Linked DNA regions of Tribolium castaneum. The protein of the gene in region 5 purifies or fractionates together with the protein of the main gene of each other region. This does not show direct contact. Links are inferred from orthologs where the notes say so. Each region holds a gene or a part of one and is shown on either strand. Other genes may lie near its edges. The genes, in order: Cdc5, noi, Sf3a1, probable ATP-dependent RNA helicase DDX20, SmD2, Sf3b3 and Prp19.

Region 1 (4,475 bases), on a different chromosome or scaffold from region 5:
ATTGTTTGATAAGGGCTTGCGCCCTCGATTGATAACCCCCTGTCAAAATCTTTAGTTTTTTCTCCATTTTTGCCGCCTTTTTCGCCTCGCGCGCCATATGTGAGCGGTTCTGTTCCAGTCTTTTTTCCGCCGATTCTAACCGCTCTTTTTTCGACACTAGATTAGCCCTCGTGTATTTGTTTAAATTTGGAACAAAAAGCACTTGTCCCAGACACTCCTCCCAAACTTGGGTGTATGCCTCCAAAGGTAATTCCCCATGGCCCATTCCATACTTTACAATTTCCATTTCACGTTTCAATAATTGTTTGGCAAGTTTTAAATCATCCGATTTGAAATCGTCATACGGGTGCTGTTCCAGGAATGCCAACTGCTGGGCCTGAGCCAAAGCCGAGCGCTTGACTTGGTTAGGGTTTTTCAAATTGTCAAATTGCAACATTGTCACCATCTCACACTTGATCAATTCCTCGGCTTTCTGCAGCTCGGTCAACGAATGCGACTCGTGATTCGGCCGCAAAACGGCCAAATTTACATCGTGGGGGCGCGGCAGCCCCCTTTGAATCACCTGCGACCGCAGGGCTAACTCCTGAGCCGCCCGAATTTTCGCTTCTTCAAGCGCTCGCGCATCAACATCTGCCTGATCTTCGACAATATTTGGCGTTTTTTCTTCTTCTTTTTCCTCTTCTTCCTGTTCGGGAACGACGATTTCGTAGTCGTTCTTCGGTGTCGGTAAACTACTTAAGCCTAGTCTTAGTTGTTCTTTTAAATTGTTTTGGAGCGAACGCTGTTCGGCTGGAGTTTGTGCCACCATTTCGGTGTTTTCCTCATTTATATTGAGTTTGTCACGAACTGAAGGCGTAAAACTGCCTTGGGGGCCCTGCGGTGTCATGAAACCGGGGGTTTGGGCCCCGAAAGGGGTCGCCAGGACCGTATTGGGAGTGGCTATGGTGAGGGCTTGTGGTAAAACGCCCGAAAAATCCGAGTTGTGAAGTGGCGTGTTTCGGCCCCCTTTTGAAAGAGATATACAAGGTGAGGCAAAGTTTGCAGTTTGGCGTTTTGCGACTAAACTATTAACTTTTTGGGAAAAGTTATTAGTGGATGGTACACTACTATAAAAATGGGACTTTTTTCAAAGTATAAAGTTTTTTAATTTTTTCGTTCGTTTTGAAGTTATGGTATTTTTTAGGTAGTAACCCACCTAGAAATTTTTTTATTGGTTATTAAGTTATTGAGACAAATAAAGTAATAAAAAGAAAGAACTACAAGTCATTTAATGTCAATTTCATTTTTTTATTTTTTATTTTTTTTACATATTATGAACAAGAAAATTGATATTTCATCCAATAAAGACAGATTTGGAATCTTCAAACAATTTTAAGTCACATAGGCATGCTCTTGGCAGGGTATTCAGTTATTGTGACTTAAATAGTTTTTTTATTGGTAGGTGACAAAGTAAAACTTTTAACTGTATCTCTATATTTAGCTCGTATTATAAGAAAAAAAAAATTTTTTTTTAATTTATTTGTACCTTTCTTAATTATTATTACGCACATTTTTAAAAATCAAGAACTTACAAAAGTTCTTAATTTCGGGATATTTTTGAGCAATATAGCGGGTGAGGCAAACTTTGCAATTTAGTATTTTTTGGCGAAACTATTCACTTTTTGAAAAAACAGATTGGTGGACGGTAAACTACTACAAAATTGCAATTTTTTTTCAAGAATAAAATTTTTCGATTTTTTCGCTCCTCTTCGAGTTACGTCATTATTTATTTATTTTTTTGTGATTTTTTTTTTACCTTTGAGTGGGGTATCCACATGCGTCAAAGCCATGACATTTTGCGCTTCTTGAAGTATCCGATCAGTTTGCGGTGCCGGAGTTCGGGGAGTCACCGCTGCCGCTTGTGGCGCCGCCACCGTATAATCATTGAACAACGTATCAGTCGACTCGATTCCACTCTCTGCTGCAACTTCACGTGCAACTTCACTCGCTTTACCCAACTTTACGACTTGTTGCAACTCCAGATCGCTAATTTGCGGCTCGGGAAGTACCAATTTCGAGCGTTTTTTCGCCGGTTCTTGATTCTGTAGCATCGCTTGTGGAATATCATTTTCTTTTCTTTGTTTTAATTTTTGTTTATCTTTGCGACGTTCGCGTTCTTCTTGTTCGCTTCGCAGTTCACCGTCGAGATGTTGTTGACGCATTTTGTGAAAATCGGGCGCCATTGGATCAACAATTTCGGTGGAAGTGTCGTAAAAACCAATCGCTGGACGTTTTTCGAAGGGGATTTCCTCATTGTAGTCAACACCGCGTTTTTTCTTACGACGCGAATTCACTTCGATGCCGGCAGCTCGAAGCTCGCGCCTTTTTTGCAGTGCTGCCAATCGACGCGCTTCTTCCAGCTGCTTTTCGCGCGCTTTTCGCTTCGCTTTTTTGCCCTGGGTGTTGGCAAGCCTGGCGCGCGCCTCGGACAACATCTCCAGCTCTGCAACGACAAACACGCGTGCCAACCTTTTTGCGTTATAGTATACTATACAGGGTGATTCTTTTGCGGTTTTGAAATTTTTATTGCATTTTTGAATTCGTGTTTTGAAACTGAGAAAAATGTACCCCATTTGTTAGCTCTTACCATCCTCGTCCATGTCTTTGGGGTCGGGCCTCGCAGGCTTGGTTTCCGGATTGGGGTCAATTTCCCCCGGTTTGAGCTTCCGGGGGTCGTCCGTGACATCCTCCCCTTCTTCCTTCTTCTGTGCCTGATCCAGGAGGTACTCGTAGCGCTCCAAACACTGAGCGGCCGTTCGCCCGATTATGGGGGCTATCGTGCGCCACTGAGTCGGCATTAACTTGGCCAAATGTAGCAACTTTTCGTCCTCTTCCCGCGACCATTCCGTTTTTTTAATACTGGGGTCCAACCATTCGAACCAACGCGCTTTACACTGTTTGGCCGATTTGCGGTGAAGGAGCGAGGCAATTCGAGACCACTGGTTTTTCCCATATTTCATTACCGCCGCTTTGAGGATCTCATCCTCGGTGTTGCGCCAAACGCCCCCCTTTATCATTATACGCGGCATTTTTGCACTCTTTAGTTAAAAACCTAACCTCACTTTTGACAAAAACTTAAATTTTATAACAATACCACTAAAAGCACGATAATGATGCTTGGGTCAACACTATTGAGTCACTAATTAGATAAGAAGTAATTATTTTGGGACACTAATGCAAAAAACGGCCCTTTTTAAACGGCTTGATTTTTGGTTATAAAAATGGCCGTCCTTGAGTTGGCATAACTGTTAGTCGAGAAAAAACAAAAATTGGGGATTAAAAATAATCAGAACCGTACTTAGAACGTATTAATCGTGACACGAGACTGATCTAAAACGTGATAATTTTTTCCTGTCTTGAAATAATTAAAAAAGTGTGGTTGGTATCTCGCGTCAGTCGGCGAAAGTCCCTAGCCCCCCCAAATCCCTGTGTTTATTTAACCCTTTTGAAATGTTATCTCGGTGATAAAGCGCCCAAGTGTTGCCCCCTTTCGCCCCAATCGTCTAAATTCGGGCCCCAAGCCCTTAATTTCGCCCTTAACCTCACTTCTCCTGTCACTTGTCACTCCCAACTGTCATTGTTATTAGCCCCCAGAGAGCACCATGTCGTTCGCTTTGCGCGTCAAAACCAAAACGGGGCAACAAGTGATCAAAAACCTAACACCTGAGCACACGATCAAAGATTTGAAGCGCCAGTTGTGCTCCATATCGCAGATCCCCGAGGACAGGCTCCATGTGTTGTCAGGGTTCCCCCCGAAGGCGTTCGCCTTGGGGGACGATGGTCTCGAGTTGAGTCGCAGTGGTCTCAAGTCGGGCGATACCCTGATTTTGGAGGAGAAGGCCCGGGAGACTGCGCCCCCCTTGCGGGGCCATATCAGTGAAAGTGTCGACTGTCCGGGGATTCTGATGAAGAAGGTGGTGCCGGCCGACAACTCGTGTCTTTTCAGTAGTGTTTACTTCGCCCTGAACGGGAAACTGGACGAGAGTGGCACGGCAGCCCCCTACATGAGACAAGTGATTGCCGAAACGGTGGCCAGCGACCCCGAGATGTTTTCCGAGGCGATTTTGGGGAAACCCAACCGTGAGTATTGCGCCTGGATCCAGGACGACAAGTCATGGGGGGGCGCCATCGAGTTGGCCATTCTCTCGAATCACTATGGGTTCGAAATTGCCGTCGTAGACACGATCAACGCTATTATCAACCGGTTCGGGGAAGACCAGCATTACACACTTCGAATTTTTCTAATGTTTGATGGTATACACTATGACCCCCTTTTTTTGGAATCGTCCGATGTAATTTCCTTACTCAGGGGGTTATCAAAAAATTATTTGATTCGTTTCAGGGGGCGAGTATTCAGACGATTTTTCCCACTGATGATGATAAGGTTTTACAAGAGGCGCAGGAATTAGCGCGCGAGGCGAAGTCGAGTCGACAAT
Region 2 (4,467 bases), on a different chromosome or scaffold from region 5:
CCCTCGGCCCTCGGCGGCTCGTTCCTCGCCCTCAGCCTCTCCACTTCATTCTGCAGTTGTTTGTTCCTCGTTTGCAGATTCTGCAAATCTTCAACAACCTGGTCCTTCTCTTGTTTCATCGCAAGTTTGCTCTTCTTCTCTGCTTCAAAATCGTTCTTATACACTTCGATTTGTTCCTTCAATGCGAACATTTCGTCGTTGGCACTTGTATTTTCTTGAAGTAGTTTACGCAAATCTTCGATTTCTTTAATCTTCTGTTCCCTTTCCTGTTCCAATGCTGTGATTGTCCTTTGGGCAACGCTCAACTGGGCCCGGGATTGGGCATAATCTTCGGCCAAACGCGGGTTGTACTTGTCTTGGAGCTCCTTAAGTTGCGATTTTAGGGTTTTTATCTCATCACTGAGGGTGGATTCGACGAAAGCGGTGCGTTGTTGTTCTTCCTTCAGTTTCAAGATTTCCGTTTCTTTCAGTTTGAGGAGCTGGTCGTAGGTTTGGGCTGCCGTCGATGATTGGACGAGTTTTGCGTTTTCTTTTGTTAAATTATCCAATTTTGATTGGAGGTCGGTGGTTGTTGTCTTCATTGACTGGATTTCGTCAATTAGGTCGCTTTCGCGATTTTTTGCGGCGAGAATATCCAGTTTAAAGTCGTCAATTTGTTGCTGCTTGGTTTGTAATTCCTGTTCAAGGTTCGGTACATTCACCAATTTTTGCGTCAGTCTTTCAATTTCTTCCTGTTTCAGTTCTAAATCCTTCATCATTGCTAATTTCCTTGTGTCAACAACTGAAAAGTTGGGGCCGTTGGTCAAATTTTCCAATTCCTTAAGCTTCAGTTTCAAATTCAAGATTTCTTCTTCATGGAGCTTTTTAAGATTGATGTAAACTTCAACGTCACTAACCAACTTTGCATTTTCTTCTTTATACTTATCTATGCACATTTTGGCATCGTTGAACTTATCTTTGTAGGACTTCATCACATTGGTGACCTCATCCCTGTAGGCCAAAAACCTCGTATACTGCGCCTTCATACTCATGTTATTTTGTGCGATGATATTCTTCAACTTTTCGTTTTCCTTAATCAGTTCTTCCACTTGTTTTTGAATCTCTTCATACGACGAATCCGGCGATATTGCAATACTTGCAACTGAGGGCACAATCGCATCAACAGCTGCTGGTAATTCTGGCAACGGATCAACGGTAATTTGTGATATTTTCATCCTGATTAGATTTTCCATTTCGTGAACCTTATTTGTCCTTATTGGGGGCAAGATTTCGTCCCTTGGAGGGCTGCAAGACAAACTTTCGCTGATGGAATTTGAAGTTTCCAAAACGACAAATGAATCTTCATCATCGGACCCGATTGACGGAACCATGGACTCTGCAGTGTTTTTCACAGCAACGAAGGACTCGTCACGACTCATTTTTGATGACTTTCAAGTTTTAACAACAGCTGCAGTACAACACTACATTTGCGGCGCAAAATAGAATGAATTAGAACATAGAATATGAAAATACCAAACTACTGACACACGATTAAAGACACTGCTACCAACCGGACCAATAAAAAGTCGCCTTAGCCTTAATTTAATTTTTTAAGAATATTAAAGCTCTAAAAATGTTATTGTGGCATAACTATTTACGTAAAATTTCATTTGGGACACAACTGTAGTCGTAAAAAAATTGTAAAGTCAAAGAAAAACCGCTTAGTGATTTTCTAGTGTGACAATAATGGTGCACCTCTCTCTTATTCTACGCTGACATTTTGTCATTTTTTGACAGTCGACATTTGATGGCGTCGGGTAAATAAATAATTTTCGCAATTTTCTAAAAAAAGTCGCAATGGAGACGATTTTGGAGCAACAACGGCGTTATCACGAGGAAAAAGAGCGTCTCATTGACGCAATGGTTAAAGAAATTTTACATAAAAAAACAACGGTAAGTTGTGATTCTCGTGGCGCTTTGCCCCCTGACAGAGTCTTTGTTTTAGTACCGCGAGGCAATAAACTCGGACTATCGCCTTAAATTTCTGCTAGACAAATATATGACCTCCACTGATCGTTTGATTGAGCTGTATGAGGACAAGGACGGGCAAAGAAAAGCGGAAGTCGCTGCCCTTACAGGTCCAAATGAGTTTCAGGAGTTTTACAATCGTCTCAAGCAGATTAAAGATTTTTACAGGAAGCATCCTAATGAGGTATAGTTTTTGAATATTTTGTGTGTTTGTGTAATGATTTTTTTCTCAGATAAGTATTCCAATGTCTGTTGAGTTCGATGAACTAGCCAAAGCGCGTGAAAATCCCACTGAAGAAATGGCAAGTGAGTCTTGCTAGGCTCGTGTGATCACAGTTGTTTAATTACGTTTGTTTTTTCAAGATTTGGTTGAATTTACGGATGAGGAAGGTTATGGGAAATATTTGGATTTGCACGAATGTTACGAGAAATATATCAATTTGAAAGGCATTGAAAAGGTTGATTATATCACATATTTGGGCACTTTTGACCAGCTCTATGACATTCCTAAAGAACGCAAAACTGGAGAATATCGCAAATATTTGCTTTGCTTGATTGAGTATTTAACTTGGTTCGTGCAAAGAGTCAAACCTTTGATGGACATTGATGCTGATTTGCAAAACGAAGTTGATAATGTTATGGTCCAGTGGGAGAATGGGACTGTTCCAGGATGGCCCGTAATTTGGTAAAAAACTAATTTATTTTTACTACTTCATTTACTTTCAGAAAGAGACAGGGTCGGCCTTGGCGAACGTTGGGGCCCATTTAGACTTGTCCGCATTTTCAAGTTGGGAGGAATTGGCTTCTTTAGGTTTGGACAGATTGAAGTCGGCCCTAATGGCTCTTGGTTTAAAATGTGGCGGGTAATTATTTACGTCTTGCCATAAATAAAATTCTAATTATTTATTTAGGACGTTGGAAGAGCGTGCCCAGCGTTTATTTTCAACCAAGGGCAAAGGCTCACTAGATCCGTCTCTAATGACTAAAAACAAATCTGGCAAAGCCAGTAAGGAAAAGGAGCAAATGAGACAAAGAGAACTGGCCTGTCTTGAGGCACAAGTTTATAGGTTGGCCGAGCTGGTCGCCCCTCAACGCGCGGCAACTAAGGAAAATGTCCAGAGAAAACAAGCGCGGACGGATGGTGAAAGAGACGATAGTGAAAATGAGGAGAGTGAGGAGGAAAGTCCCGATGAAGCCGACGATGACGTTCCCTACAACCCCAAAAACTTACCTTTGGGCTGGGATGGAAAAGTATGTGATTTTGAAAGTAAGTTGGTAAAATTGATTGTTTCGTAATTGCAGCCGATTCCATACTGGTTGTACAAACTCCACGGTTTGAATATCAGTTACAACTGCGAAATTTGCGGCAATTACGTCTATAAAGGACCAAAGGCGTTTCAAAGACACTTTGCGGAGTGGAGACACGCTCATGGAATGCGCTGTCTGGGAATCCCCAATACCGCGCATTTTGCCAACGTGACGCAAATTGAGGATGCCCTAGCACGTAAGAAGTTGCAATTTTGGTTTCTTACCTTGTTACGGTTGTTTTCCAGTGTGGGAGAAGCTCAAAGTGCAAAAACAGGCAGAGCGTTGGCAACCTGAAACAGAGGAAGAGTACGAGGATTCGCAAGGGAACGTCGTTAACAGAAAGACTTACGAGGATCTTAAAAGACAAGGTTTATTGTAATTTGTGCTGTATTAACAATAAGTATCAATAAAAAACATAAACAAAACTTTAAATATTGACATTTTATTTTGATGGTCGCCTTGGGAAGGGGAATTTTCGACTGTTCGTTAGCACGAACGTACAAAACTGAGCCCGAAATAGGGATAGAGAGAGTGAAAATTATTCCTGTTACTTAAGAAATTATTCAGTAGTTTCTGCGTAAATAAATAATAATTTAAGTACTCATTTAGCGTGTTTTTAGAGTTCGGTTGAATGCACAGTCGGCTGCAATTTTTCTCACTTACCGAACGATGCGCATTTGTTTGTGCCTGTGATTTGACCAGATTTGACTTTGACACATAAGTGGGTAAATTCATCCAAATAGGTTTGTGATTTTATTCAACCTTTAATCACTAATTCTTTAATCATCAGAGTCTAATTTCTATAATGTGCGAGCTAAAATGGACGTATTAAATGCGGTATACAACTTAAACAATGAAGAAACCCTCAAGTCCAGTTGGTTCGGTGAGGTCTTCTCGAGTTTTTCGACTCAAGAGACGTACCAGGTAAGAAAACTGCGATTTGAATCAGTTTTTGCGTAATCACGGGGTTCCAGTGGGGCTTCCAGCTACTGCCCGTGTTACTGGCAGCGATTTTCGCAACGATAATTTCAGTAACGTATTTTTGCATACGAAAATGCCACCGAAAAGGTACAAATTAGTGTTTAGTTGTCTCGGTTGTAATAATTTGATTTAGCTCTTTTTGCGCGACAATTGAAATCCGAAGAGGCAAGT
Region 3 (4,542 bases), on a different chromosome or scaffold from region 5:
GATAAAATCAAAAATTTTAATTGAAATGAAATTTACACATAGCGGAATTATATTAAAAAAAATACTTTAAAAAAGAATTTAACAAATTAGACATCAAATTATTCCAAGTGTTAAGTATTAAATTTCTGAATCTGAAACATCAAAATCTGTTTTTGAATCAGACTCACTTAGAGAAATAATAAATGGAGAAATATTTGCAATGTGTTTTGTCCAATCTGAAGCAATTAATTATTCCCAGTGTTTACAGAAATTTTGCCACATTTCGGGTGTACATTTTATGAGTGATTCCGACCATAGATTTGCAACTTTATTTCTGTCCAAAGGTTGCTCATTTGTATGTTTATTATAATAGTTCTTAGAAAACCCCTATGCCAATGAATTGCGTTATACTAGCGATGATATGGGGGTAATCAAAGAACTTCATGTCCATGGTCATTTAAAACTTTATCTATTACGTACTGTTTTTAATTATTTGCTTTTAAAGGTTTTATTAAATCCTACAACTGATTTTTAGTGAAGTATTAAATCAAATTCTATATGATGATTAATCAACCATACCTACATTTTACCCTTGGTAGAAGACGACGTGGGCATTTTTTCCAATTGCATCGAGTGACACGGAGCACTATCCATTATCACAACAGATTTAAATGGTAGTTTTGCTAAAGCAGGAATTAATTGGTTAATCACCCATGTTTGAAATATTTCTCCATTCATAGTTTTGTGATAGCCTCTGTCATTATTCGCCACATCCATTAAAAGGTCACATCCTTCCAAAAAAGCAAACCGACATCCCGCATATAATATAGTGAACCTTTTGTCTTCACTTTTAATTTTTGAAGGATTGCTTTTTAGGTCTTCTTCGTGAACCCACCGTCGAACATTGCTGCCATTTTGATAAATCCACCTTTCATCCAAATATACAAAAATAAAATTTTTAGTGTTTTAGAGTTTTGGTACTGAAGAAATTTTCGTAAAAAAACAATTTTTGATATCAGAACATGTTTTTGTTCACAAAGATTTTTCTTCTATTAACTAAACGAAATCTGTAACTCATATTTTTTAAAATTCTGTATGAAGTTGTTCGCCCTCCTTCAAACTCCAAATTTTCTTTTGATTCTGTTAGTAATGTGTCTAAAGTAAAATATTGATTTTTTTAATTATATTTCGAAGTAGGTATATTTAATTTCAGTTCATAGTAGAATTGCATTTTTCAACAGCGGATGTGAGTATTTTGGAGTAAAAATTAAGCCCAAATTGAGTTTCTGTATAAGAAAAGAATTCACACTTTGAGCTAAGAAAACCCACCAGAAACTCTCATGTTAAAAAATGCATATGCGCTGTTAAAAAATTCTACTATGAACTGAAATGGGATATACTACTATGGAGAAGTATCTGCTAATAACAGGAAGTGCCTACTTTTAACTATAGTCTTTTGTTCCCGAAAGTAAAGTATTTACTTAAAAAAGTAGCATTTACTTCACCCATGTCTTTACTCCACTGGACTGTAGTATTAGCATCTACTTCATTTTTATTTATACCACCCAATGATTTGTTTGGCATTCTGAAGTCCAGAGCAATGTCATACGTGTAGTTTTCACAAAATTTCAAAAAAAAAGATCCTTAATGAAAACCACATTAAACTTGAATAATTGTTGGTATTTTCATGGAGTTTAGAGAAAAGATAAGACAGCTTAACTGTTTATTTACAAAGTTAAAGTTACGTCTCGGAAACGCCTTCAGACCTTGGCTACATAATACTACGAAAATACCAACAATGATAAAAAAGGAGAATAATTTTTTTTTATAATTGAACTTGAATGTTTTTCGCAGAAAAATGATGAATGAAACGATTTGTCTTGAACGGTAAACTAAAAGGTTTTTTTTGCATAAAAACAGTAATTCCACTTTACATTCACATTATAAACAAGTGTTCAAAATTAGTTAATGTTTGAAAAACTTTATTAATCCGGCGTTACTCAGGTGAGTTTTTAGGACACCAATACTAAGGTGGGGTGTGACACACACATCAAAGAATGTGTTTGTTATTCTGAAACTATACCAAAGCATTTTACACTCGATTTTACATAAAGTCCAATATTTCAAAAAAGTCAAATCTTTACCTAGTTTTATAGAGCAAAATTTTTGGTAAAAAGTAGTAACGTAAGTAAGTGGGGTGTAACAAACCCCAGAGCCATAAAATCGGCTACAACACACATATTATAACAGCCAGGTGAAAATTATATTATATTATATGAAAATCATATATTACATCATATTCGAAATGTTTTTGCAATCTACTGAAAGGTGCATACATATAACATTCCTATCTAAAAAACCAAAGCATTTTTTTACTCTGGGGTCTGTCACACCCCAACTGAGTAACGCCGGGTTAAAGAACAAATATTCTTCAGTGTGACCAACCTAATAAAAGAACCATAGGTCTACTTTAACCTGATCAACTCGATTAATATATTTTTATGTTCCTTACCTTTCCCCTCTCGAAAATCGTTGACTTTGTGCTGATAATACGCATGGTAGGGGTCACCAGGATTCAGGAAATTAAATTTCGGATTCCCTAATTCGTTCTGTCTGATCCTGGCCTCAAATTCTGGCCCGTTTCTGGCCACAAAACTGGCTGTTTTATCGACGATATCTTAGCAAATTGTCAGGAAAAATACAATCTAACCTGAATTTTCCGACAAATCTGAAATTTTCACAAAGGATACTTCTCACCTCTGGTGGTGGATAAATAATACCCACCACTGGATTTATCGGTCCGGGATCGTCCGGATTTGGATTATTTGCTTCCAAAACCGGCATTTTCACTATTTTTTCTTACAATAAGCTAAATAAACACGCTAACAAACGCTTGCTCAACGTAAAATGAAGAGAGAGATGGCAATAAAAAATAAAATTGATGAATACTCCAAACCACTAGAGGCGCCACAAGCGGTCTTTACAGAATTCTATACCAACATTTTACGCGTGTAAACTGTTTTTATATTTTTTACTTTTGTAGTTATTTCTTATATTTTTTACAAATATTATGTATTATTATTATGTATTATAATATTATGTATTACGTTAATATCTATATTACAACTAACGCTTGTGGTTGCGGATCAAAAAGAACGATTAATGAAACCTAATTTATAGATTTGAAACAGCTTATATCTCATTTCAACTCATAGTAGAATTTTGCATTTGCATTTTTTGGAGTGAAGTAGAGCTCAAATTGAAAGTTTCTGGGTTCTTGGCTCAAAATTTGTTACTGAGATTTAGCTTAACATATATTTTTTTCTTATAAAGAAACTTTCAATATGTGCTTTATTTCACTCCAAAAAATCCAAATGCGCTGTTGCAGAATTCTGCGATAAACTGAAATAAAATATATTAGCTGTTTCAAAACTAAAAAAACGCTAACGTCGCATTTTTTTTTGAATTAGGTGTTATAAATTATTCATGTAGTTCAAAAAAATAATAGATAATGTAATTTATACTTGGGAAAGCTAATCAATAATAATTATTTTACATTTTTATTAATCTTATTTAAAAAAATTATTTAGTAAAATGCGACGTTGGTGTTTTTATAGTTTTAAAACAGCTAATAATTTATATTCAACATAGTATTTAACATTTTAGCGAACCTTGAAAAAACGTTGTACCTATAACTTCTGATAGTTTTCAGCTTCAACAGATCAATATTTAGTTCAATAAATTAAAAAACATAATAAAAGTAAAAAAATATAAAAATTTATGTTTAAACATTTGAGCTAAATTACTCTACACCGTTAGAGGACGCTTCAAAACAGACAGATAATTGACAGAAGAATTTGACAGTACGTTTGTGGTTTATGCTGCCCTCTTTTACCAACGCTTCCAAGTTGGGAGTTGTGCGTTGGTAAGGTTGATAACCTGTGGTTTGTTATTGTTTATATGCGGGAAAATTTCATTTTTAATCGAATTTTTCCAATGGGTGAGTTAATTATTTGATTTTTGATTATTTTGTGTTGGATTAGTGTGAGTTTGTGTTATAAGATTGATACCGGAAGGCCGCTTTCCTTCCGTTTTGTTTGAAACTGCGACGGAAATTTCCACAGTCGCATCGGCCTGGTTTATTTCCTAGTGGGCTAGAAATTGTTTTTTGATAATTTGAAGGGGTTGAAATGAAGGGGGACATTCTAAATTAAAAAAATGCGGCATTAGTTACTTGCTAGATTTTTATTTATTTAAAACAATTTATTTTAAGAGTCGCCGATTTTATTTATTATTATATTTTTTTTTAATTATAGAAAGATACAATTTACAAAACTGTTTTTTTTAATAACTTTTGCGTCGTGACCCATTTAAAAACCAATACTCTAGTCGTCGATGAAGGGAGCACGCAGAAGCATCATGTGGGGTGGTGTCCTACTCGCCCATATTTGACCCATTTTTGAAACAACTTATTTCGATTTTCTAGAATCTTCCATGGTGGGAACAAAGTGCACACACCAGTGGTAGGCAACTCCAAAACATTCGAAACGTTTTGAAGCTAGA
Region 4 (3,684 bases), on a different chromosome or scaffold from region 5:
TTGGCTATGACATTTTCGAAAAAATTTTTTTTTCTGAACTGAAAACAATATAAATACAGTTTGATATTTCTATATACTTTTAATAAAAAACATATTGAAAGCAGTTGGCCATGGAAAAATTATTTCACATATAAGCTGTGAATAATCTAGAAATTTTGTGAACGGTTATTAAAGTAAAAAATTTGAAATTATCAAAATAAGTTATGTTAAAGTTATTTTCAATAGAACAAATATACGATCGTCGCAGATTTTAATTACATAAAAAATGTTCAGAAAACTGAAAACGATGTGTCACTACTATTTAATAACACTTTCTTATGATTTAGTGAAGTGCAATGGCGATGACGTTGATAATGTTATGTATTTTTTACTACAAAAGAGTAAAATATTTTGTAAAATAAATATTGACAGGCAATACGATTAATAAGATTTTTCTTTTTTCCACATTTCATGTTTAATTAAGAAATAGAATGACAATTTTAGCTTGCCATTTTAAATCTAAAAACAAATAATTTTTCTTAATCGCAAAAATTTGTTCTAATAATAATTTATTATGCTGTTTTTGAATTAATTAGTGTTTAAAAAATCATTAAATTATAAATACTTGTTGGGTAATATATTTTTTCATAGTTTTTATTGAAAATCGAAATTTTTTTCATGGCCTACCATAAAGAAAAAGCGAAATGTTATGTTTTCCTTAATATTTAAAAATAATGTATTACATAAATAGATATATCAAATCAGAACAAAATAAGCTTTTAAAAAATACTGCAGCCGCCTATGATTCTTATTTAAAAAAAAATAAAACTTTTTGTTATTACAGTTGAACGAAATATAAAAAAAATCGCTGACAACATTATTAAATTCTCTCTCTGTAAAACGTGACTTTGTTATAATAATATGTGAAGTCTTTGTTTTAAATAAGTATCTTTTATAATAAGGAAGATATGAATGTTTTAATATTCCACTAAAATGACAACTTTTTCGAAAGTCGAAAATAAAAGACTATAACAGGATGCGATTTTGGGTAAAATAATTCTCTCAAAAAACGGAGCCGCGAATGTGACTCGTTTTTCTTTAAATCTTTTACTTTCGGAGTTCTCCTAGTCGGACATCCAAAATGCAGCACCCTGTATATATCACGGCTGTCTTGATACACGTTATTCATTGAATAATTTGATTAATTGGCACGTTTTAGGCCTCAAAATCGAGAGTTTCATCGGTGGGAGGCCCCTCGAAGACGACTTGAAGAAATCGTCCAAGTGTCACATCGCAGTGGGGGCCCCCGGCCGAGTCAAACACTTGCTAAAAATGGGGGCCCTCACTACAAACCTCGTCAAACTATTCGTCCTCGACGAAGCCGATAAATTAATGGAGGAGAGTTTCCAGTCTGATATTAACGAAATTTACAACAGTCTGCCCCCTCGCAAACAAATGATAGTATCGAGCGCCACCTACCCACAAGAACTTGACACTTTCCTAGCCAATTACATGCAATCCCCGACTCACGTGACGTCCGAAAACGAGACCCCACTCCTACTCGGCCTTAAACAATTCGCAGCCATGCTAAGGCCCGGCCTTAACTCAGTCCAACAAATGAAAATAAAAAACGATCTTTTGATAACAATCCTAACGAAAGTTTCGTTCGTCCAATGTTTGGTTTTTACGAATTACCAATCACGGACCGAGACAGTTTCGAATTATTTGAACCAGAAGGGCTGGGATTCGGTTTTTATTTCAGCGGCGCAGAAACAAACCGAGCGGTTGGAGGCGATTGACAATTTGAAAAAATTTAAAAATCGCATTTTACTTTCAACTGATTTGACTTCACGGGGTATTGACGCCCCCAATGTCGATCTTGTGATAAATTACGACTTGCCTTGCGACGCTGTTACGTACTTGCACCGCATGGGGCGCGCTGGTCGCTACGGTTCGGGGGGACTTTGCATTAATTTCGTGTCAGAGGGGCCCGAAGTGACCAAATTGCAGCACATTCTGGGGGCCATCGGGGGGAATTTATCCATTGCCAAGCTGCCCCCATTGGAGGGGGTGGATTTGTGGCAAGTCGATTTGAAAACACTGGAACAAATAAGGGGGGTCGTGCCGTCTGACACTTCAAATGACGTTAGCGAAAATTTGAAAAGTGAGGTTATGGAGCTAAAGGAGCGCAAGGATGGGAAGAAACGTAAAAGGGTTAACCCGGAAGCTAGTCCCGATTTGCAAAAGGAGAAACGCAAAAATGATTTCTCACAGGACACTTTTTGTAAAAATCGGGGGCTTCTTAACTTGACTAAGGTTTTACTAGATCCGGGGATTAACATAGATGGGGACATTACCGACTCGGTCGATAATTACCTTAAAATTTTGAAAGTCGATGACTTGGAGGAGGAAGTCCCGGTTGTTACTCCCCAAGTGGAGGATTTTATGGAGGGAATTTTCACGGCGGCGTATGACTGTGCTATTGATAGTGGGGGGAGGAGGACTTGGACGGAATATTTGCCTTTGGAGGAGCTCGAAAAATTCCAAAACCGTGGTAAAGAACTTGATGTTGAGATAACAAATGATCTGGAGGAGGAGGAGGAGGAAGAGGTGGAAGAAGAGGAGGAAAAATGCGAAGAAGAGGAAGATTTCGAAATGGAGGAAGCAGTGCATAGGAATGACGTATCTCTCGAATGGGCTCCAGTGGTTCAGGAAGGTTCTGGCAAACGTTTTGATCAATTTTTCGAGGACTGTAGTAACGTTTTGTGGCAAAATGGTTTGACTTTTGAAACGGTTGAAAGTTTCGACGATTGGTTCTACCACTGGCAGGAGTCTCTCCAATCTGTCCGAAACTACGTCCAGCAGAACATTTACATCGAAGAAATGAGTAAATATCAAGAAAGCAGGAGACGAAGTAATAAATAACGGATGTTTCCCTGTCCCGCCTTGAGCAGTTCCTGTCATAATAAATAATACAAAACCTGTTAAGTGTGTGCGTCTTATTTTCGTGATAGCGGTTCAGTGACTCTATAACAAGAGCAATGCAAACAATAATTTTATTTTTCTGAGAACAACGAGATAATAATTCATTCGGGGTCGGCAATAAGTTGCGCAAAATAAAACCGGAAATGCGGTAAATGCATAATTAGCGAGTGCATTAACCATCTGGTAAAAGTGCATAAAACAATGAAATGCAAATGATGCGGCGGATTTTATCGGAGGTTAGATGCAATGTCGGCGTTTGATGGCCTAAATCTGAGCGTTTTTGTCGTGTCCGTTGCATGTTTCGAGGATTATCTGGATCTTAGCACGCCAGAACGAGCGCCCCAAGGTGAATAAGACGACGGCCTCGGATCGTGACACGGTGGAGAGAAACGGGAATTAGGGCTTGGGAACATTGGTAATAATTCGGAAATTATGTCACAACTATTTTATTTCATTTGTACACAAAAATAATAGTATATTATGATACGAACGAGTTTTGTAAGACGCATTTTGTCGCACGCACGAATTTAGGAGTAAGTGCGACAAAATGCTTTATAAATGTGGTAACATACAGTATTTTTAGCAAAAAAGTTCAAGTTCGAAATTTAAGGGATTTTGTGACAGTTGACTGCACTTGCGCGGGTCATGAAATTAAATTAATAACTTGGCCATTACTTTATTCGTAAAAATGTATTCTGAAAGTGTCCAAGACGTTTTGCA
Region 5 (2,680 bases):
GTTGTTAAGAAAAAATCTAAGGACTAAAGATGAGATTCGATGTCATTCGAAAAATATGTGTAGTAATGCCGCCGTTGATTGGTTTGATTGCATGATTGGTACCCCTTTACTCTCTAAAACATTACAAAATTAACACTAATAGCAAGTGCTTGGAAAATTTTCGCGTATAAACGCCCGGAAAATCATTTCCAAATCAAACTCCTCTACATAGAACTACTCTACATTTCCCCAAAAATTACCTGAGCAAAAGTCCACTCTTATAAACACTTGCGTCAAAAATAGAAAATTGCCCAACACAAACAATATCATTGAATACAGCGCGTGTATCTCGACACAAGAGGCATTCAGCAAGCAGCCGTAAGCATCGGCTATTATCCTATTTAGTCCGAAGTGGCCCCTAACGAGATTTAAATATGTTCATCGTCGATGTCAAACATATGAACTTTATTCCATTCATCTGGTCAATTGATTAATTGAATTAAGGTAGGCACACGAAGACCGAACTCATGAAAAACGAAGCCTCAAATGCGGGACCTTAGACGGGCGGCGACAGGAAACGCCGCAAATGAGGAAGTCGAATTAAGAATTATTAAATCTGACAACGTGTGACAAGAAAACAGACTTTTTTTGGTGATTTTCATCCATGCGGTATAAAGCAGCCAGACCGAGGAGATTTCAAAAACATCACCTTCGGCGCAACTACTTAATACCGGGTGGACAAGAGGCTTTCTTCTGGTGCGTTTCTTCAAGTATTTAATTTATATAGCGGGACGGGGTGGTTTATCGGCTCCTCACTGCATTTTAATGATTATTCTATTATTATTTGCGTTGGCATTGCTTGTATACTTAAATAAACACGCTGCTGGAATAATTACTTGCACTGGTTATCTCTTATTGTTATACTTACTATAAATAAAGAGTGATTATTGTTTATCGTAATTATTTAATTTTCGATTCTGGGGCTAACAAATTGCTGGGAATTAAACTCCCTTCGTTGGAAAAATGCACTGCAATACTCGTATTTGCAATATTTATTACATTTTCTAGTTAAATTATAATAAACGGTGCATTCCCCTATCTGATTCATTAATAGCTTGTTGCTCTTATATTTAACGTCTTCATCTCAATGGATTATAAATTGGTTTATTTGCTCGATTTTGTAATTAGTTTTTAGATCGTGGTTTTTGAGTATGTTAAAACTCTTAATTAATTATTCAAAAGAGTAATCTTAATGTAACTTTAAATGTGAGAAGAATAATTGTTGATTTAATTCGAAGTTTGTTTTCTTCACTTTAAATGTTTGAATCTGCCGCCATAGTATTAAACCCAGTTTGCGCATGCGCATTGCAAAATTCCCCAAACGCATCCAAAACGCTCAAATTCCTAACCTAACTATTTTTGTGCCGGAAAAAGTGTTGTTTTAAGTGCAAAAACCGAGTCAGAATGGCTTTAACGAAACCCAAGTCTGAAATGACGGCCGAGGAGCTTCAGGCTCGCGAGGAGGAAGAGTTCAACACGGGCCCCCTTTCGGTGCTCACTCAGTCGGTGAAGAACAACACTCAGGTGCTGATAAACTGCCGAAACAACAAGAAATTGCTGGGGCGGGTGAAGGCGTTCGATCGGCACTGCAACATAGTGTTGGAGAATGTGAAGGAAATGTGGACAGAGCTGCCCCGGCCTGGAAAGGGGAAGAAGAAAGCCAAGCCGGTAAATAAGGATCGGTTCATTTCGAAAATGTTTCTGCGAGGCGATGCGGTTATTATAGTTGTAAGGAACCCCCTAGCTACGGCTAGTGGTTAATTAGGAATAAAATTTGTATCTTCAGTTTAGTGTTTATTGAGGAAATTCACTTACCTATCACTTCACTCGTGTGGTCCTTCTGTTCTGCGGTTGATTGATACCGCGAACGTGATACTGTGGAAATATCACATTCATGTCGTTGCAAATGAAAGATTGAACGGTTTTTTAACATTTATCTATAAAAATAATACAACAAAATGTGATAAAATTTCTCCTTTTTATTTAAACAAGATAATACAAAAGAATAATAAATATTTGTAACTTATGCAAGCTGCATGACCTAACCCCTTTCACATATGATGTCCACAACGCTTGGTTCCATTAAAATCGGTTCCAGGCACCTGTGGACTGCTGATCCCAAAATCTCATCCAGGAGGAAATGAACCAAGCTGGAAAATTCAATTAATTTCACTAAATTCAAATTCGTGACGTACTTTTCATCCGCAACAAATCGCCACAAATACAACTGCAAGTAATGCGTGTCCACTTGAATTTGTTGGAGGCCAAATTTACTAAAAGTCTTCAGACGTACGCACTCCATGAACGTCTAGAAATTATTTTTTGATTAAATGCTTCAACCCTCCACAAAATGATGCCTTAATAAACTAGCCTCTGCTGTAAATTATCGGAATGCCAACTAGATGTAGTTCAGTTTACAGAAAGCGCAAGTAAAATTTAATTCAGAATTAAACATTTATTTTGCATTGTCAAATGTTAAGTTAATTAAAGGAAAATGTTATTTTTTTTATGAAAAATTTAACAAACCAATTCTTAAAGAAAATTAAAAAAATAATCATCTGGATAGGTGACCCAACGTTGCCTACAATTTACGATAAAATTTTTATTTATGACAGAAAAAATCCAAATAAATTTATACAGG
Region 6 (4,708 bases), on a different chromosome or scaffold from region 5:
TATATATATATATATATATATATATATATATATATATATATATATATTTATAATTTAATGATTTTTTAAATCCTTAATTCCAAAACAGCATAATAAATTTTTATTAATTTAAATTTTTGCAATTAATAAAAATTATTTGTTTTTATATTTAAAATGGCAAGCTTACGTTGTTATTCTATTTTACAATTTTAAACATGAAATGTCGGAAAAAGAAAAAAATAATTGTATGATTGCGTATCAATAAAATTTTATTTTACAAAAAAAATGTCAATCCAAACACCAAATCAAATTTTATCTGCGGTAAAAAAATATACAACATTATCAACGTCACCTACACATTTTTTATGTAATTAAAATCTGCGATCATCGTATATTTGTTCAATTCAAAATAACTTCAACACAGCTTATTTTTATAATTTCACATTTTTTACTTTAATAACCGTTCACAAAATTTCTAGATTATTCACACCTTTTATGTGAAATAATTTTTTCATAGCCAACTACTTTCAAATGTTTTAATATATTTTTATCATAAATATACAGCGTGCTCAAAAACTGGCGCACCAACTCAATGGTGTGTGATAGAGAAGTGGTTACATATAATGGTAAAAATAGTAAAAAAATTCTTTGTATTAAAATTATTGATAAATAACTAATTTTAAGTAATTGATATGTGGCAACGTTGTCTAATAGTCATGATCGCAATAGAATTTGAGCAACAATAAAAATAAATTATATTTGAAACGGTTTCCTAGGAAATAATTCCCAGTGTTGGCACATCTACACATTGTGATTTTTTTGGATAAATTTTAATTTTTTTATATTAAAAAAACTGCTAAAATTTGATAGTAAATTTTAAAATAATTGTTAATCGTTTTGTTACGGAACGATTACCTGGTATGAAAAATAAAAATATAAAAAAATAATAAAAACTAAAGAAATTAACACAATAAGTTTGTAGCTCCAGATTTTTTAAAATATAACTTTAGGAATTTTTTCAACATTTTTCCCGTAATCTGCACTTGCTTCTCAATAACGTACCACTGAGTTGGTGCGCCAGTTTTTGAGCACCCTGTATAAAAACATCAAACTATATTTATATTGTTTTGAGTTCAGAAAAAAAAAGCTTTTCGAAAATGTCATAGCCAACTATAATTCTCATTTAAAAAAATAAAACTTTATGTCATTACAGCTAAGCGAATGAGTAAAAAAAATCGCTGCTAACATTATTAAATTCTCTGTAAAAAAGTGCCTGTATAATGTTTTTGTTTTAAATATGTATCTTTTATAATAAGGAAGATATGATATCTTTACAATAACTTAAAATTTCATCAAACAAACGCATAAGACTATTACTGTAAATTGCATTGAACTAAAACTCTGAAAATTGTCCGGAAAATATGGTACAAAACAATAAGCTTTTTACTAGAATTTGGATTCTTATTTGCCTCAAATTGAGATAAACACAATCAAGTTCTAAATACAGTACCTACAGTACGGTAAAAACAAAAGATACATACTGGCAATATCAAACGCATAAATTGTTAAAGTATAATTTTGGCCAAAGATAATTTTCTGAAAAATTTATTTAAATTGAAATTTCCTCTCAATTTTCTGATTGGTTTAGAAATTTTGCGCTTGCGTAGTAAAAAATATAGCCAACACGCACGCGCAGTAGCACTACATTTCTTCTTTCCGTTTCCTTTCTCACTTCACCGGTGTTTGTGCGTTATTTTGCCGGTCTGTCGCCATTTGCAGTTAGTTTTTGTACTTTTTTGCTAAATAATGTATCAAAACATTGCAAAAGGTGCTTTATTATTGTTTTTTAATTAACTTAACCATCGACAAAAACGCTCAAATAAATAACCAAGTCACCACGTCACAACAATGTGAACCATGCGAAAATCGAAAATAAATGGTTGAAAAACTTTGAAATATTGAACGAAACGAAGCTCATCCACGTTCAAGGTAACAAAATTTAGCTTTGATTTTGTTTTATAATTAATCACAAGTACGTATTTTTGCCCAAATTAACGAGTTGCTTTAAAAATTTGTAATCGGATGCACTTGGTATCTCCTGTACCTATGTATTGTATACGTACAGGTCGTAAAGGGTGCTATATTATGGGGCACATCGCATCGTTGGCTCAAGCGAATTACCAAGCTAAAGCCTGGTTTTAGTGCCCCACATTTTCAACTAAAAAATGATACGTTCTAACCTCACTTTTCTTCCTAGATAAGCCCCCAAAATGTATCTCTACAACCTGACCTTACAAAGGGCCACAGCCATCACCCACGCCATCCATGGCAATTTTTCCGGCACCAAAATGCAAGAAATTGTCATTTCACGTGGCAAAAGCTTGGAAGTGCTACGGCCTGACCCCAACACCGGTAAAGTCCACACGCTTCTAACCGTCGAAATATTCGGAGTCGTCCGCTCGTTGATGTCGTTTCGACTCACCGGAGGCACCAAAGACTTCGTCATCGTGGGCTCCGACTCCGGCAGAATCGTTATTCTTGAGTATATCCCGTCTAAAAACAACTTCGAGAAGGTCCACCAGGAGACGTTCGGCAAATCGGGGGTCAGACGTATTGTTCCAGGCCAGTACCTAGCCACTGACCCTCGAGGACGTGCTGTAATGATAGGCGCCGTCGAGAAACAAAAACTCGCTTACATTTTGAATAGGTACAAATTTTTTATTAAAGTATTTTTGTTCTGTAAAAATTAATGAATGCACAAAAAACGTGCGGTCTTTATTAGTTAGTTTTGCGGAAAACTATTTTAGAAAGTTATAATTACATCTGCATCTGAGTGACATTTTTGGAGTGCGATTTGTGCAAAATTGTAAGTTTCTGTAAAAGAAAAAAAGTTTGTGCTAAGAAAACCCACCAGAAACTCAATTTGCGTTACATTTTACTCCAAAAAATGCAAATACGTTTTTGCAAAATTCTACGACCTGAAATGGGATATACCTACTTAATTAAAAACAAAACGAAATAGATTACCACAATTAAAGAATACATTATCAAGCCCCAGTGAGTTTTGTGTCAAATTCGAAACTTTTGTATAGTTTTACTGTATTAAAGAATGAATTTTGTAAAAACAAATAGAAATTGCTGTTTAAATTTTAAATGTGACAGTGCGGGAAAGCTATTTTTAAAATTTTTGGCAATCAGTTCTGCATTTAGACGGCTCGGATAATCCGTACGATTCTATTAACCGAACTCCCAAATTAAGTAAAATAGTATACATAATCCGAATTACCATTCATTTATTTTGACTTTTAATTATTTTGTCGAAAAAAGTATTTGTTTAAAATACACTATCGGACAAAAGTAAGGCAACATGTTGAAAAATATACAAATATTGGTATTTTAAATTTTAAGAGTTGGTATTTACCTTCAATTTAATTTTATAATAAACGTTTAAAGATATTCTTATTCGTGTTGAACATGGATAGCCAATGGGTAATTATTATGACATGCTACTAGCTTGAAATATAAAAAAGCCCGATATTAATGCGACAAAAGTAAGGCAACATTGTCAGAAAATATTTTCAACTCAAATTTTATTTGATTCAACATTTACATAACACTACCCAACACTAAAGTTTAAATAAATAGAACGAAAAATTCAATAATTTATGACATAGCCGTTATTAAGTATAATTTTTTGGCACCGTCTGGGCATTGAAGAAATTAATTTTTGAATAACATTTTCATCCAGATTTGACCACACTTCTTTGATTTTATCTATCAAAGATTGCTTGTTGGGAAATTTTTGTATCCGGATTCGTCGCTCTACCTCTTCCCATAAGTTCTCAATTGGGTTGAGGTTTGGTGATTGGGCAGGCCATTGCAAAACATGAATATTATTATTTTGGAACCACTCACTGACCAATGCAGAAGTGTGTTTGGGGTCGTTATCTTGCTGAAAGATAAAACGAAGAGGCATTTCCCATTCTGCATACGGCAGCATTACATCTTGGAGTATGTCCTTATGGATGAACCGATCCATATTACCCCCAATAAAGCTCAACGGACCCACACAATTCCACGAAAAACACCCCCACAGAAAAACGCTACCATGACCATGTTTAACAGTGGGTGTAACATACTTGGGGTTGAATCGTGTATTGATTGGCCGTCTCACACGTTTCATTCCATCCGAATTAAATAATTTGTATCGAGTTTCGTCACTAAACAGAACTTTCCTCCAATCTTGCTTTGTCCAATTCAAATGTTCTCTTGCAAATTGAAGTCTGGCGCGTCTATTTCTTTCGGAAATCAAAGGTTTTTTAGCAGGACGTCTACTAAAAAGCTTTGCTGCAACCAGTCTTCTTTGAATTGTTCGTGTACTAACTCCTACTTCCGGTATTTCCGCTATAATTTTAGATGCAGATTTCCATGGATCGTTTTCCGAAATTCTTTTAATGCGTCTGTCCATGTTTATAGTGGTTTTTCGTGGTCGTCCCGATTTTGGATTATTGTTTAAATGTCCTCTTTCGTTGTAGCGAATAATTATTTTAGACACGCTGTATCTAGGCAGTTGAAATCTTCTTGCAATATCCGCTTGTTTTTCATTGTTTAAGAAAGCATCGATCACTCTTTCTTTCAACTCTTTACCAATTGGTGTACCCGTTGGCATGGCTCTTGTTGCGCAAGACGAACTGTTAATATTGGCCTAACAAATTTTTCATTATAACAA
Region 7 (4,654 bases), about 5.9 Mb from region 5:
TAACTTCAATGAATGAAAGTGGCTTGCTCAAAATTTAATGCAAAGAAACATTTTTTTTTGGTTTCTTTTTTATTATTATTATTTTTTTTGCTACAAACGGTAGCCAACGTGGAAGCGAAACACAGGTACGTCCATTTTATTGTTGTGTCGTATTTATTTATTTCACAAACCAATAATTTCATAAAATTTAATTGCAATTACAATGTCGTATACACCGGCTCTAAATACGGTGTTGAAAAGTCAGTTTGAGTGACTCATTTTAAATTCAGTAACTATTAATAAAATCAAACACTCAAACAATTTATTGCCACGTAATAATTTTGTCTTTAATTTCAATGAATGAAAGTGGCTTGCTCAAAATTTAATGCAAAGAAACATTTTTTTTTTGGTTTCTTTTTTATTATTATTATTTTTTATGCTACAAACGGTAGCCAACGTGGAAGCGAAACACAGGTACGTCCATTTTATTGTTGTGTCGTATTTATTTATTTCACAAACCAATAATTCGTTAAAATTTAATTGCAAATAAAATGTTGTGTACACCGGCTCTAATACGGTGTTGAAAAGTCATAGTTTGAGTTTTAAATTCAGTAACTAAAAAGAAAACACTCAAACAATTTATCGTCGCGTTTTGATTTTGTCTTTAATTTCAATCGATGAAAGTCACTTGCTCTAAATTTAATGCAAACATTTTTTTTTGGTTTCATTTTTATTATTATTATTTTTTTAATGCTACAAACGGTAGCCAACGTGGAAGCGATATGAAGGTAGGTGTATTTATTTACTGAAGTTTTAAATTTAAATTGCCACATATTAAAACGTATTGTGTATTTTTTATTTTGTTTAATATTGACAAATGTTGCTTGTTGTAACTTTCATGCAAATAAAGATTTTTTATTGGTGTTGTTTTTATTTTTTAATGTCTTGCTACAAACAGTAGCCAACGCAGAAGCCATATGAAGGTAGGTGCATTTTTTTGCGTTTTATCTTGTGATGTGTTGAATTTAATAGCTTGTGTGCCATATATTATACCGTATTGTGCATCCTTTATTCTGTATAATATTTATTAGTGTCGCTTTTTGTAACTTTCCTACAAATTATTTTTTTTTGTTGGTTGTGTTTTTAATTTATTTTTTAGGTTTTGCTACAAATGGTAGCAGATGCAGTATAAAGGTAAGAACATTTATTTAACGCCAAGTGAAAAACTTTGATTTTTGTGTACTTTTTTTTTATTACACAAACCAGTAATGTCTTTATTCCCTTTTATTTTCCAATAATCATTGTTTACCTCATCCTTATTTCCTTTTTTCCTGGCAAGAATGCTCTAAACCTCCACGTGGTTCTTGCTGGACAAATTAGTTATTAATTTGACTGATTAGAGCAATCTTTAAATACGAATTTTTTTAACGCAGTTTGCAAAATTGAGACATTTTTTTACAGCCGAAGGCCCTATCGAAGGGCTTATTCCCCTACAAAAATAATGAACATTGCACGGTAAAAAGGGGGTGAAAAAAAACAATTTGCATTGCTTGAATATAAGAATAAAAATGTAGTCAAGTTTTAATTTGTAATAGAAACACATTAGAATGATCAGGGTATGTTTTTCTAATGATTTACGATTATTTTGATAATTTTCCTGGTGTGAACTTGGCTGTAGAAACGAGAATGTTGCTAGCTCCAGGCGCGCAACGATTGTCTGGTCGACTGTAATGTTCATGGTGCCATCATCATTTTTAGTGCATCTGCACAGATATCTCGGCCACAGTGTTTTTCACTTTGTGCGGTTGGCGACACATCAAGCTAAGTTAGCAAAAATGGCGTTGTTTTGTGCCCGTAAGTATGAATTTTTGTTGCGATTTTGAATAAAGTACGCTTTTTTAACGAATCAAAACTTAATTCGAGTGTCAGTAATGAGCTTCTGGCGCAGTTTGGGTAACGATTTGGCCCGGTTTCAGTTTCAAACGAGGTGCCGGAACACCCAGTCGTGTCCCCAACGTCGGGTGCGATTTTCGAAAAACGCATCATCGAAAAGTACATCCAGGAGCACGGCAAGGACCCCATCAGCGGTGACGAGCTCACCGTGGACAAGCTCATTGAAATTAAGAGTGAGTAGCCTAACCCAACTTGTTCGGTTCTAACCGCCACACAGCCCCGCCGATAGTCAAGCCGAAGCCGCCGAGCGCCACCAGCATCCCGGCCACGCTGAAGCTGCTGCAGGACGAGTGGGACGCCGTGATGCTGTACAGCTTCACGCAGAGGCAGCAGCTGCAGACGGCGCGCCAGGAGCTGAGCCACGCGCTCTACCAGCACGACGCCGCGTGTCGCGTGATCGCGCGCCTCAACAAGGAGGTGACCGCCGCCAGGGAGGCGCTGGCCACGCTGAAGCCCCAAGCGGGCATCATCACGGTGCCGCAGCCCGCGGTGGCGGCCGAGGCCGGCGGCATCGCCAACCAGCCGACAGAGCAATGCGGCCTGACTGATGAAGTGATTGAGAAGCTGCAGGACAAGGCCACGGTGTTGACGCAGGAGAGGAAGAAGAGGAGCAAGACGGTGCCTGAAGAGGTGTCCACGCCGGAGCAGTTGAGGGGATTCAAGACTTTGGCCTCACATCCGGTATATTTTCAATGTTTTTATTTATACCATCCAGTATTTCCCCGAACATCTCTTGCATTTTGCACAATTGTCGTTTTAAAAATTTCACTTGACAAATGCAAAGATTACTAAATGTGGTAGAAAATGACTTAGTTTTCTCTCTTACGAGTGTTTTAGCACATTTACCAATTGGAAAAACGTGTAAAGGTTGGTGTTATTTTGCTGGATTTACTCGATTTAGCTTGTTATTGGGCGAAATTTCATCAAAAATAAGCCAAAAGTCACAGGATGTGTTCAAAACACTGATATTTTTTAACTAAATGTTCGTTCAAATAAAAGAATTTCTTTCTAACCTAATTCTAATTGAATTGAGCCAAAAATGCGTTGTTTTTTTTAAGTAAATATCTAAATATTTCAATAAAGTGATCGAAAATGATGTCATTTCAGGTTGTTTATCTCGAACTTATTCTGAGAAATCAGGAAATTAATTTGGGAAATCTTCTATTTTCGTAATACATTTTGCAGTCAAAAAGCAAAATTTCGTTGAAATCTTGTTATTTTTGCCATTTTCCGGCAATTTAATTCGTATAACATTCGACAATGTAGTTATTTCGAATTTTTTTTTTAAGATAAGAGCGAAAATGTTACATTTTTTTGTTGTTTTCAAGTGTTTTAAATTTTTTTTGAAAACAATTTAAGCTTTTTTCTATAAACATTACAAAAACTTAATAAAAAAGCACTATTTTTACATCAAGATGGTTGTTATTTTAGACCATTCCCTTCGATTTTGTTTGTTTTTGAGCCAGGAATTTATTTATTTCCCAACAATAAAAATATAAACTTATTATTTTGTTTTTATTAACTTTGATTAACTTTCGCGAAATTCCCTTTAAAAAAAAACGCAAGAAACCACAAAATTTGATCAAAATTTTTACGTTTTTTAAGCTTTAGAGCACGTTTTTGAATTTAATTTTCAGCTTTTTTGGCGAAATTTTGCAAAACCAACTGAGAAAAACATGCAGAAATAATTTTTCTGTTTTTTGAGGCTTTTCTAAAAAGGTAGATGAAAAAAACACCAAATTAATTCTAAGATTTTATTATTTTTCGAGTTCACGAGCATTTTAGTACGCTTTTAAGACAGAACTGTTTTCCAAATTTCGTAAAAAAAATAAAAAGCCGACTCTTTTATTTTACGAGATCTTGACAAAACACCTAAAAATCAAAAACTTATTATCAGCTTATTTTTGAATGAAATGTTCCCAAAAACAAGACAAGAAACCAATGAAATTGTTAAAATTCTTATTTTTTCTTTATTCATGCTTTCAAGCACATTTGAATTTTTGTTTTAATCGCCAAATTAAATATAGAAAACTACATTAATTTTTCATTTGCGATCATTTTAATACGTTTTACACTTAAAACCACAAATATTCCGCAAAATTTCGTTCAAAACCATTCGGAAACTAATTTATTTTGTAATATCTTGTCACATAAGTGAATCGACATTAATTATTATTTAATTATTTAGTATATTTGAGTTTGAGTGAAATTCGTCAAAACTCATTATAAATAAGTCGAAAATTGTGTTAGTTTTACTTTTTTCCGGGCTGTAAGCACAAACTTTTGCTAGAATTGGCTAAAATCATCAAATTAATTAACACAATAACAAGTGTTCATTTAAAAAAAACTCTAGAGTGCTTTGAAAATAAAAAAATAATTGTTTACTATGTCTGTGATTAATCCGTTCTTTCATAACCTTACTTTTTGACAACTAAAAGAAAACAGATTTTCATCATAAAATTTATTTATTATTTATAAAAACTGTTGGAAATGTCTTCCTTGTTGTTCAACACACATAACACATCGCCTTTGAACACTATTTAACAATCTTTGGCTATGAATTGTGATGACCTGGTTGATAGGCAACCAACAATACAATGATAAAAATTGATCTACGAAATCCGTAAAAATGTCAGAGCATGCTACGAGTTTTTTTTAAATAATGAACACCTGATACCATTTATTTAGTTCGCTCTTGAACCAGGAAATTCTTCATTTCATT

The links.
Region 1: the proteins of SmD2 (region 5) and Cdc5 fractionate together in Homo sapiens (co-fractionation; 3 studies listed by BioGRID, with this or other methods). This does not show direct contact. The link is inferred for Tribolium castaneum from reciprocal best matches to the Homo sapiens genes SNRPD2 and CDC5L.
Region 2: the proteins of SmD2 (region 5) and noi fractionate together in Homo sapiens (co-fractionation; 3 studies listed by BioGRID and IntAct, with this or other methods). This does not show direct contact. The link is inferred for Tribolium castaneum from reciprocal best matches to the Homo sapiens genes SNRPD2 and SF3A3.
Region 3: the proteins of SmD2 (region 5) and Sf3a1 fractionate together in Homo sapiens (co-fractionation; 3 studies listed by BioGRID and IntAct, with this or other methods). This does not show direct contact. The link is inferred for Tribolium castaneum from reciprocal best matches to the Homo sapiens genes SNRPD2 and SF3A1.
Region 4: the proteins of SmD2 (region 5) and probable ATP-dependent RNA helicase DDX20 purify together in Homo sapiens (affinity purification with mass spectrometry; 3 studies listed by BioGRID and IntAct, with this or other methods). This does not show direct contact. The link is inferred for Tribolium castaneum from reciprocal best matches to the Homo sapiens genes SNRPD2 and DDX20.
Region 6: the proteins of SmD2 (region 5) and Sf3b3 fractionate together in Homo sapiens (co-fractionation; 4 studies listed by BioGRID and IntAct, with this or other methods). This does not show direct contact. The link is inferred for Tribolium castaneum from reciprocal best matches to the Homo sapiens genes SNRPD2 and SF3B3.
Region 7: the proteins of SmD2 (region 5) and Prp19 fractionate together in Homo sapiens (co-fractionation; 3 studies listed by BioGRID). This does not show direct contact. The link is inferred for Tribolium castaneum from reciprocal best matches to the Homo sapiens genes SNRPD2 and PRPF19.

The regions. Positions count from the first base shown.
Region 1 is NC_087400.1:3,566,689-3,571,163, forward strand, and holds the start of Cdc5 (cell division cycle 5-like protein), read right to left. Parts: upstream 3,274-4,475; 5' UTR 3,069-3,273; coding exon 2,627-3,068; intron 2,483-2,626; coding exon 1,796-2,482; intron 1,006-1,795; coding exon 1-1,005. Other genes in the region: Yod1 (ubiquitin thioesterase Otu1), read left to right, coding at 3,642-4,331, 4,382-4,475.
Region 2 is NC_087397.1:5,206,000-5,210,466, reverse strand, and holds noi (splicing factor 3A subunit 3), read left to right. Parts: upstream 1-1,693; 5' UTR 1,694-1,836; coding exon 1,837-1,932; intron 1,933-1,984; coding exon 1,985-2,191; intron 2,192-2,240; coding exon 2,241-2,313; intron 2,314-2,370; coding exon 2,371-2,684; intron 2,685-2,733; coding exon 2,734-2,870; intron 2,871-2,918; coding exon 2,919-3,258; intron 3,259-3,309; coding exon 3,310-3,511; intron 3,512-3,560; coding exon 3,561-3,694; 3' UTR 3,695-3,747; downstream 3,748-4,467. Other genes in the region: NF-kappa-B essential modulator, read right to left, coding at 1-1,418; neuropathy target esterase sws, read left to right, coding at 4,135-4,239, 4,290-4,383, 4,430-4,467. UniProt on the Homo sapiens protein: Component of the 17S U2 SnRNP complex of the spliceosome, a large ribonucleoprotein complex that removes introns from transcribed pre-mRNAs.
Region 3 is NC_087397.1:12,582,789-12,587,330, forward strand, and holds the start of Sf3a1 (splicing factor 3A subunit 1), read right to left. Parts: upstream 2,899-4,542; 5' UTR 2,824-2,898; coding exon 2,730-2,823; intron 2,657-2,729; coding exon 2,492-2,656; intron 1-2,491. Other genes in the region: peroxidase, read left to right, coding at 3,940-3,979. UniProt on the Homo sapiens protein: Component of the 17S U2 SnRNP complex of the spliceosome, a large ribonucleoprotein complex that removes introns from transcribed pre-mRNAs.
Region 4 is NC_087394.1:23,203,801-23,207,484, reverse strand, and holds the end of probable ATP-dependent RNA helicase DDX20, read left to right. Parts: intron 1-1,198; coding exon 1,199-2,904; 3' UTR 2,905-2,967; downstream 2,968-3,684.
Region 5 is NC_087395.1:17,190,481-17,193,160, reverse strand, and holds SmD2 (probable small nuclear ribonucleoprotein Sm D2), read left to right. Parts: upstream 1-1,343; 5' UTR 1,344-1,443; coding exon 1,444-1,800; 3' UTR 1,801-1,824; downstream 1,825-2,680. Other genes in the region: serine-rich adhesin for platelets, read left to right, coding at 488-583; Vps51 (vacuolar protein sorting-associated protein 51 homolog), read right to left, coding at 2,081-2,189, 2,235-2,347. UniProt on the Homo sapiens protein: Plays a role in pre-mRNA splicing as a core component of the spliceosomal U1, U2, U4 and U5 small nuclear ribonucleoproteins (snRNPs), the building blocks of the spliceosome.
Region 6 is NC_087394.1:10,470,148-10,474,855, reverse strand, and holds the start of Sf3b3 (splicing factor 3B subunit 3), read left to right. Parts: upstream 1-1,684; 5' UTR 1,685-1,968; intron 1,969-2,236; 5' UTR 2,237-2,249; coding exon 2,250-2,686; intron 2,687-4,708. UniProt on the Homo sapiens protein: Component of the 17S U2 SnRNP complex of the spliceosome, a large ribonucleoprotein complex that removes introns from transcribed pre-mRNAs.
Region 7 is NC_087395.1:23,125,708-23,130,361, forward strand, and holds the start of Prp19 (pre-mRNA-processing factor 19), read left to right. Parts: upstream 1-1,701; 5' UTR 1,702-1,709; coding exon 1,710-1,833; intron 1,834-1,955; coding exon 1,956-2,105; intron 2,106-2,149; coding exon 2,150-2,613; intron 2,614-4,654. UniProt on the Homo sapiens protein: Ubiquitin-protein ligase which is a core component of several complexes mainly involved pre-mRNA splicing and DNA repair. Required for pre-mRNA splicing as component of the spliceosome.